Linked DNA regions of Daphnia pulex. The protein of the gene in region 2 binds, or shares a complex with, the protein of the main gene of each other region. Links are inferred from orthologs where the notes say so. Each region holds a gene or a part of one and is shown on either strand. Other genes may lie near its edges.

What was found.
Region 1: RNA transcription, translation and transport factor protein-like (region 2) and protein archease-like share a complex: the UniProt entries of both Homo sapiens proteins name them as parts of the tRNA-splicing ligase complex. The link is inferred for Daphnia pulex from reciprocal best matches to the Homo sapiens genes RTRAF and ZBTB8OS.

The regions. Positions count from the first base shown.
Region 1 is NC_060024.1:1,631,828-1,635,634, reverse strand, and holds protein archease-like, read right to left. Parts: upstream 2,321-3,807; 5' UTR 2,302-2,320; intron 1,892-2,301; exon of another isoform or gene 1,728-1,891; intron 1,660-1,727; 5' UTR 1,598-1,659; coding exon 1,546-1,597; intron 1,463-1,545; coding exon 1,438-1,462; intron 1,382-1,437; coding exon 1,324-1,381; intron 1,244-1,323; coding exon 1,097-1,243; intron 1,035-1,096; coding exon 855-1,034; 3' UTR 811-854; downstream 1-810. UniProt on the Homo sapiens protein: Component of the tRNA-splicing ligase complex required to facilitate the enzymatic turnover of catalytic subunit RTCB. Together with DDX1, acts by facilitating the guanylylation of RTCB, a key intermediate step in tRNA ligation.
Region 2 is NC_060020.1:507,550-510,823, forward strand, and holds RNA transcription, translation and transport factor protein-like, read right to left. Parts: upstream 1,969-3,274; 5' UTR 1,751-1,968; coding exon 1,690-1,750; intron 1,627-1,689; coding exon 1,327-1,626; intron 1,263-1,326; coding exon 898-1,262; 3' UTR 550-897; downstream 1-549. Other genes in the region: 4-hydroxybutyrate coenzyme A transferase-like, read right to left, coding at 2,346-2,530, 2,607-2,732, 2,804-2,941, 3,007-3,078, 3,146-3,274. UniProt on the Homo sapiens protein: RNA-binding protein involved in modulation of mRNA transcription by Polymerase II. Component of the tRNA-splicing ligase complex and is required for tRNA ligation.

The DNA.
Region 1 (3,807 bases), on a different chromosome or scaffold from region 2:
TCATTTTTAGCAAACTTTACCATGGCAACCCCCGAAATCTTATAATCACTCCCATTCAAACACCTTAACGCCCCAAAACGGCAAAATCACCCCTCTTAAAAGCTAGTTATGACTATTTTATGAAACAATAATTATTGTTCAATAGGGAATTAATTTCTACATGTTAATGACGTTTTCCTAGACCTAGACCTCACAAAAATCAAATTTTATAGTTATAAACGCGCCCGCTTGGTGCGTTCATCCACCAAAGTCCACAACACGTCAACACCACAACCCCGAGATTTGAGAATGTTGTCTGCTTTGAACTTTGTTTTAAGTTCTGAAAACTGTGATTTTCACTATTAATTGAATTACGTATAATCTAAAAACGTTCTGAATTTGTGTTATTACAAATTATAGTGACTATAGCAGGGTAAAATATTGTAACATAAAACAATGTTTCAATGGAAGCCAACTTTTTTACAAAGGCCCAGTCCTCCAACTGCAGAGCAACAGGAAAAAGACATGATGAATTGTGTTAACAACTCAGATGTAGTCCAGGCTCTGGATATGCAAGGTAAACTTTGAAGTTCTGTTTTTGAATTTCATCATGAATTCTTAAATAACATATTTTAATGCAGATAATGTATGTTCAGTAAATGCAGGAACAAATGAATGGACCCAAAAATTAAATGACCTACTTATGTATAAGAAAAATTTAGACACCAGCATTCAAGATCTGAATACCAGATTCCCAGAACTTACAAAGATATCAAATGAATTGCAAAATATGTCTGATAATGTAAAATTAAAGGCTTACCAATCAATAAATTAAGATAAGGCAACTGATCCAGATGTATTTCACATTTTCCCACTTAAATATCAATGATAACATAGACTTGATGCAAATTTGGTTCATCATGAACTTGCATGTTAGAGTAAGTGATAGCCTTAACTTCTGTTCCCTGAGGGTGCTTCTTCAAATCAAAAGTTTCTCCATAGCCAGTTGCCACAATTTTGAAGTTGACGCGATCAAATTCTGTGATTTTCACTTTCTACACAGAAAATTTTGAATAGAATAAATCAATAGTTTAATCATGTGGAAGGTTGACTTTACCCTAGCAATAAAGAATGGCTCTGCACTAAAAAGGAAAAGGAACTCATCAAGTAGATGAAACAACAATGATTGAATATCCTCTCCTTGAGCTTCAATTTCATGCTTCTCCAAGATTTCCACTTTATCAATTTCAGTCATGTACCCAAACTAAAAATAAAATCAGTGAAAAGGAGCAAATATACAATAATGGTAGTAGGTAATATGGATATGTGGCAATCTAGTATTACCATGGCCTGAGTACATTGTTCAAAGGCTTCTTCCAAGGAATCCCCCCAAGCATGAAGCCTATTAAAAGTAAAACATTTAGCCAACAGAAAAAAAGAATAATTGAACAATCTTACTGAACATCAGCGGTATGATCCAAATCTGAGGCAAATAAAGATTACAATTCAATTTTTTTTTTAAATCACTGTTCAAAATTAATCACTTTAAATCATGATTTTACTTACATTCATATTTCTCAACAGGAATCTTTTTTTCCTCTTCAGTTAGATCTGTCATTTCCAAAGGGAAGGGAGCAATCTTTTCAAATGTTTATCAAGTATAACTGCAAAAGTTGATGCCTGGATATTTTAGAAATTGAACAGAATATATTTAAGGAATCTAAATCATTTATCAAATTTCAACCAACTTCTTTAATCCTTTTACTTATATACATTAGTTTTGTAGTTAGGAAAGTGATTGTACTCTTTCATAAACACGTTTTTTTTTTTAAATTGAATGAACGTTAGCAGAAAGCAGACGTGATCAAAGTAGGTAAATAAAGCCACGGCCCACGAGTCAGTAAAAACTCGATTATAACGACATCTTCCTTCTGTCTGTGACAATAATGAAGGTTTTCTCTTATGCAACATTGACAGCCTTGTAGTGGAAATCTACTAGCACAACCATTCAAAAATGGTCATTTAAAATTTAAATTAGGTCACTGTTTAGTTAGGTCGGTTAAGGAGTTTAAACGTTTTTAAGGGAATGTCGTGGCAATACTGATATTTGAATTCAATCCACGATAGATGCCGCTGTAAAAGAAAGTTTTTTCACCGTCTTGCTAAGGTAGTTTAACCAAGAATGTACGTTTACTTTATGGTTTAACATCAGAAATACGTACAACGTAAAAAAAATGATTTCGCTTTATATTTAATTTAACATGAACTTCCGCTGACCATCGCTACTTCGCTAGTTCCGGCCTTCCGGGTACAGAATCTTACTTGCTTTACCGCTAGATGTCTTCCTGTCAGTGAGTCCACTGGCACAGAGCTCGAACTTTTCCCAGTATTATATCTTCTCGACTCGTTCACTATCGGTGAACTACGGTAGCGACAGTCACCTACTAGTATAGTTGACTAGTTGGACTTGTGAATTAACGTCAGAGATAAAGGCGAATCTATTTGGTTGTCATTTCCACATATAACCAACGGTTGGTGGTCGTCATTGATGCATATTTTAGGTATGAGTGCTACAGTTAATAATCGTTAGTTAAAATGTTACAAGTTTTTCTGTTTTTCTCCTAATCAAGTCTTAACGGAGAGGACGTATTTTCGTCTTATTTCTCTTTACATCCGCCATTGACTGTTTGTATCCATTCGCCGTTGGTTTTTCTACTTCAATGTGCTCAGGCATCATTCAGGTAACAAATTTGATTGGGGATGTATTTTATTTTACCAGTTATTTATAAGTACTTTTTTTTACCAACCTAAATTATGTTCAAGTTCAAGAAGCCTTTGTAGTTCTAGTTGTTAGGTAACGTTTTGTGTGTCTTTGAAACGTATGAAATGGTGAACTCCACCCTTGCTTTAAACTTGCATTTGTCTTCAACATCAGAATAGCGTGAACTACTTGGGGAAATAGATTTTAGAAATTTGACACTTAGACATCTTCTACTTTTATCAATGAGAATCACATATTTCTCATGGTCCATATTCAACTAGGTTTCCTTTGTATTTGTGTTTCGGTCTATAACTATGCACTTTGGTTAATTCTAAAAGTGTGTAGTCTAAAAAGTAGACTACTTCATTTTTCATTACATGCAGAATAAGATTAAAGCTCCAATGCAAAACTTTTCTAGTTTGACCCAAGTAAAATATTATTTATAATTGGCTCTTGGGAAATTTGCCAAAACGTTCCAATCGTTTCCAGGCGAGCCGCAGTATTGCGCGTTGGCCAGCAAGTGGCCAAAATAAGTACGCACTTCATTCTCGTGACTTTTCGCCTGCGAAAGACGAGTTATTTTTAGTTGACGTGTCTTTCAACTGAAAAATAAGCTTCACGAAAAATTTGCTTCCCCGATTCTGGGCCAGCCTTTGACTGTTTACAAAACACTTGTGTGTACGTTACGGCAATCGGCAAACAAGGAAATCCAGTTTTCTTTTTTAGTTAAACTTGAAACGGTGAATAGGTGACATTGAAGCTAATACGTGTAGAATTATTCGAGGTTAGTAGGTCAAGCTCTATACCCCAGTTTGAAGCACTGAAGGTTTCCCTTCATTTAGTTCGAAGATGCGAGCTCTAGTGGAAAGGGCGATTGAACAGACTTAGTTATTTTCCCTAGTAATTATTTTGCCGTTTTCGTAGAGGTTGGTTGTTCACTTGTTATCATATAGATTTCGTGTGATCTAATAAGAAGTTTCGTTACCAACATTTCTAAATCATTTTTGTCTCTCCATTTAGCGTTGCCAGGAGTGGCGGCACCGATACCTGGTAGCTCATTTGGGCAG
Region 2 (3,274 bases):
TGAAAAAATTTCTTTGTATGCGACAGTAGAACTCCAAAGACATAACATGAAATAAGAGCTCCTTTTTTAAATATTATTAAAAATACCCGACAATAGAACTCCAGTGCCCGACAGTAGAACTCCACTACGCGACAATAAAACTCCAATAAATTCTTTAATTATTTTCATGTTCGACAGTAGAACTCTATTGAATTTTAAATATTTTAAATGTCCGACTATGGGCCTATGGCAGAGAAAATTTCCGCGTTTTGGGGCAGGAAAAGTATGTAGTTCTATATTTGATTGCTAGATGGCGTTGCGAAACGTTTATTTTTTTTTCTTTCGGCGTGCAATAACAAACCTTCGAAAAAACAGAAGTCGAGAATCGGTCGTCATTAGTTGTACCTATATCTCTACTTTCTTTCTTTTTCTTCAAGTTTCATAGTCGGAGAAATCTGTAGTGAAGACCACCAGTTGTTCTTCTCATCTTCTGTATTGCTAACATCACTGTATTGAAATGGATAAAGATTGCCTAGGTTGTAGGATTGTAAGCGGCTCAGGTACAGGACATATGACAAACCCGTGTATTTCGTAACAGATATCAATATGTTTAAACCACAGGTTTAATTGGAGCTGCTGCGTACATAGCACATCAATCAAAGAAATCGGTTCACAAATGGGGAAGGCTTTTTATGCAAATCACTAGCTTTGGTACTGAATTTCAGATGAAAAGTATCTTTTTAATGCAAAATGATTTTTATCTACTAGGCTTTGCATCAGTGGGTGCAGCAAGACTCTTGAATATTTACCCATTCAATGTGACTCACAAGAATTTGCAGTTGGAAAAAAAACAAGAAGGAAGTTAACAGTGAAAAATGTTTGGAGTTTAACTTGTTAGCCATGAGAAAGAAAATACACTCAAAATCCAACTTTCCCCAATTTTGTGTCTGTTTTGGGATTAGCAGTGAGAGCTTGAACACATACAAGGCACTCATTGATTTTGGTTTGGAGATCTCTTAGATCATGAATGAATAAATAACGAAGGACATTTGCAGCACTGCTTACATTGGGGGATTTTATGTCCAAGCCAAAGCTGATGTTTTCAAATTGAACAGGGTTTCCTGGATTCTTGGTCTTCAAGGCCTCTTTCAATGCATCTTGACTTAACTTTTCTTGGATTACATTGCAAATTCCTTCTAATGTCATTAGATGATCTGGATGTCTGGGAACTTGAAGAAGGTTAGCCAATTCAACAACCCCAACTTTGAAATCTTCACTTTCAACTGCATCAAAATGTAAAGAATTCTTAACAATGATTTAAAAAATATTGAAATAAAAAGCTCTTACAATCCAAGTTGTCAAGTGGATTTGATTGCTGAGAAGTTTGTTGTTGAATCTTAGGACTTGAAGTGTAGCTTTCGGGTTTCTCATTGAACTCAAATTGCACTGCCAGCCCAAGAAGCCAGTCTACAATTTCCGGCCTAGAACCATTGGCAAAAGGGCAATCCAGATCCTTCAAATATTGTTCAAAAGCTTGGTTCCACTGTTCGGCAGTTGTATTCCTTAGAGATTCCCTATCTTCAATCTTGTAGCGGCGTACCTTCTGATCTTCCAGCCAAACAATAGTGCTTCGAAATTGCTTTTCGTCTAAGTATAAAGAAACAGTGGTAGTTTAAATCTCATTGCAATAACACACTTATAATGTAATACCTGCAGTATTCAAGGTATCGGGATTAGGAAAACCCAATGCTTGTAATTTTCGCTTGAACATTTTTAACGCAATATTTCGAGTGAATAATTTTTTCCACAGATGAGCAGAAATTGTGAGATGAAAAATAATAAGTAAGGATATTGATTGTGTGCTCCCTGAAAAAGTCTGAATGAGTAATAAACAGGAATGGAATGAACGACAACGAACCGACAACGAATGACGATGGTTCAGAAAATCTGTTTCGTCTGCTTATTTTTGTACTTGTCGACATGTGCTGTTGTGCAATGCCAAATTTATTAAAACTCAACTTTCAGAATTTGAAAAATTGTAAAATCGAATTTCGGACCAGTTGCAGATGGACATAGAACTACATAAAATGTCAATGAAATTATTGAATCAAGGACAATTTTCAGAACAGTCTATTAATTTTGAGAGATCAAACAAACAAACAAAGATAAAACATCTCTAGGAGTCTTGGACTCTAAAGAGCGAAAATTTTAAAATCACACCAATTAGACTAAAGGATAAAAAGGAGGGTGCAGAATTTTTAAGGTGCAGAAAAAAGATAATACTGTAGTTGTAATATTGATAATAGATATAATGACAATCACAGCATTCGTTAAATATTTGCTTTTGAAATAACCGCTAGTTAATTTCAAGGAGAGGGCATACAGCCCAAGCGATCGAAAGCAGCTTTTTCAAGTTCTTCTCGATGATCTGGATGGGCGATTCGGATGAGTTCAAATGCGCGCTGGCGCAGATTTTTACCGAACAAGTTTGTATAACCGTATTCGGTTACCACATAGTGGACGTGGGCACGTGTTGTAACAATCCCAGCACCTTTATGTTGGAACAGAAGCATCGTTTAGCCAAATCGACGTGATAAATGCATTTATAGAAACTAGGGGGACGATACCTTGTTTCAAGTAGGGTACAACTTTTGACTCGCCCTTTTTCGTGCTAGATGGCAAAGCTAGAATTGGTTTGCCACCGTCGGGACAAAGTCCCGCTCCACGTAGGAAATCTACCTGTCCGCCGACACCTAGTTAAACAACGTCATCCATTTCAAACAAACGGTTCAGTAAAATATTATTTGTGTTAATACAAGCTTACCAGAATACATTCTGGTGCCTATAGAGTCGCTTACAACTTGACCAGTTAAATCTATTTCAATGCACGAATTAATGGCCGTCACTTTGGGGTTTTGCGCAATCAATGAAGATGAGTTAACCCACTGAACATCACCCATGACTGCAAAGTAAAAGATTTAATAACATGGAAGAAAAAATCCGTTAAAGATGATGTGAACTGAATACCAATGAATGGGTTATTGTCAAGGAAATCATAAAGTCGCCGGGATCCCAAACAAAAGCTACCGACAATTTTGCCTATGGTCAAAAGTAAGAGAGAACAATGAGGCCGTGTTTAACTACGCTAATAGTGGTACTAAGATACCTGGCAATATTTTCTTTTGGCTATTGGTTATGCAACCAGCTTCAACCAAATCCACCACTCCATCGCTAAACATTTCAGAATGAATTCCAAGGTCGGTGTGACTCTTCAATGACGAAAGCACAGCGTCAG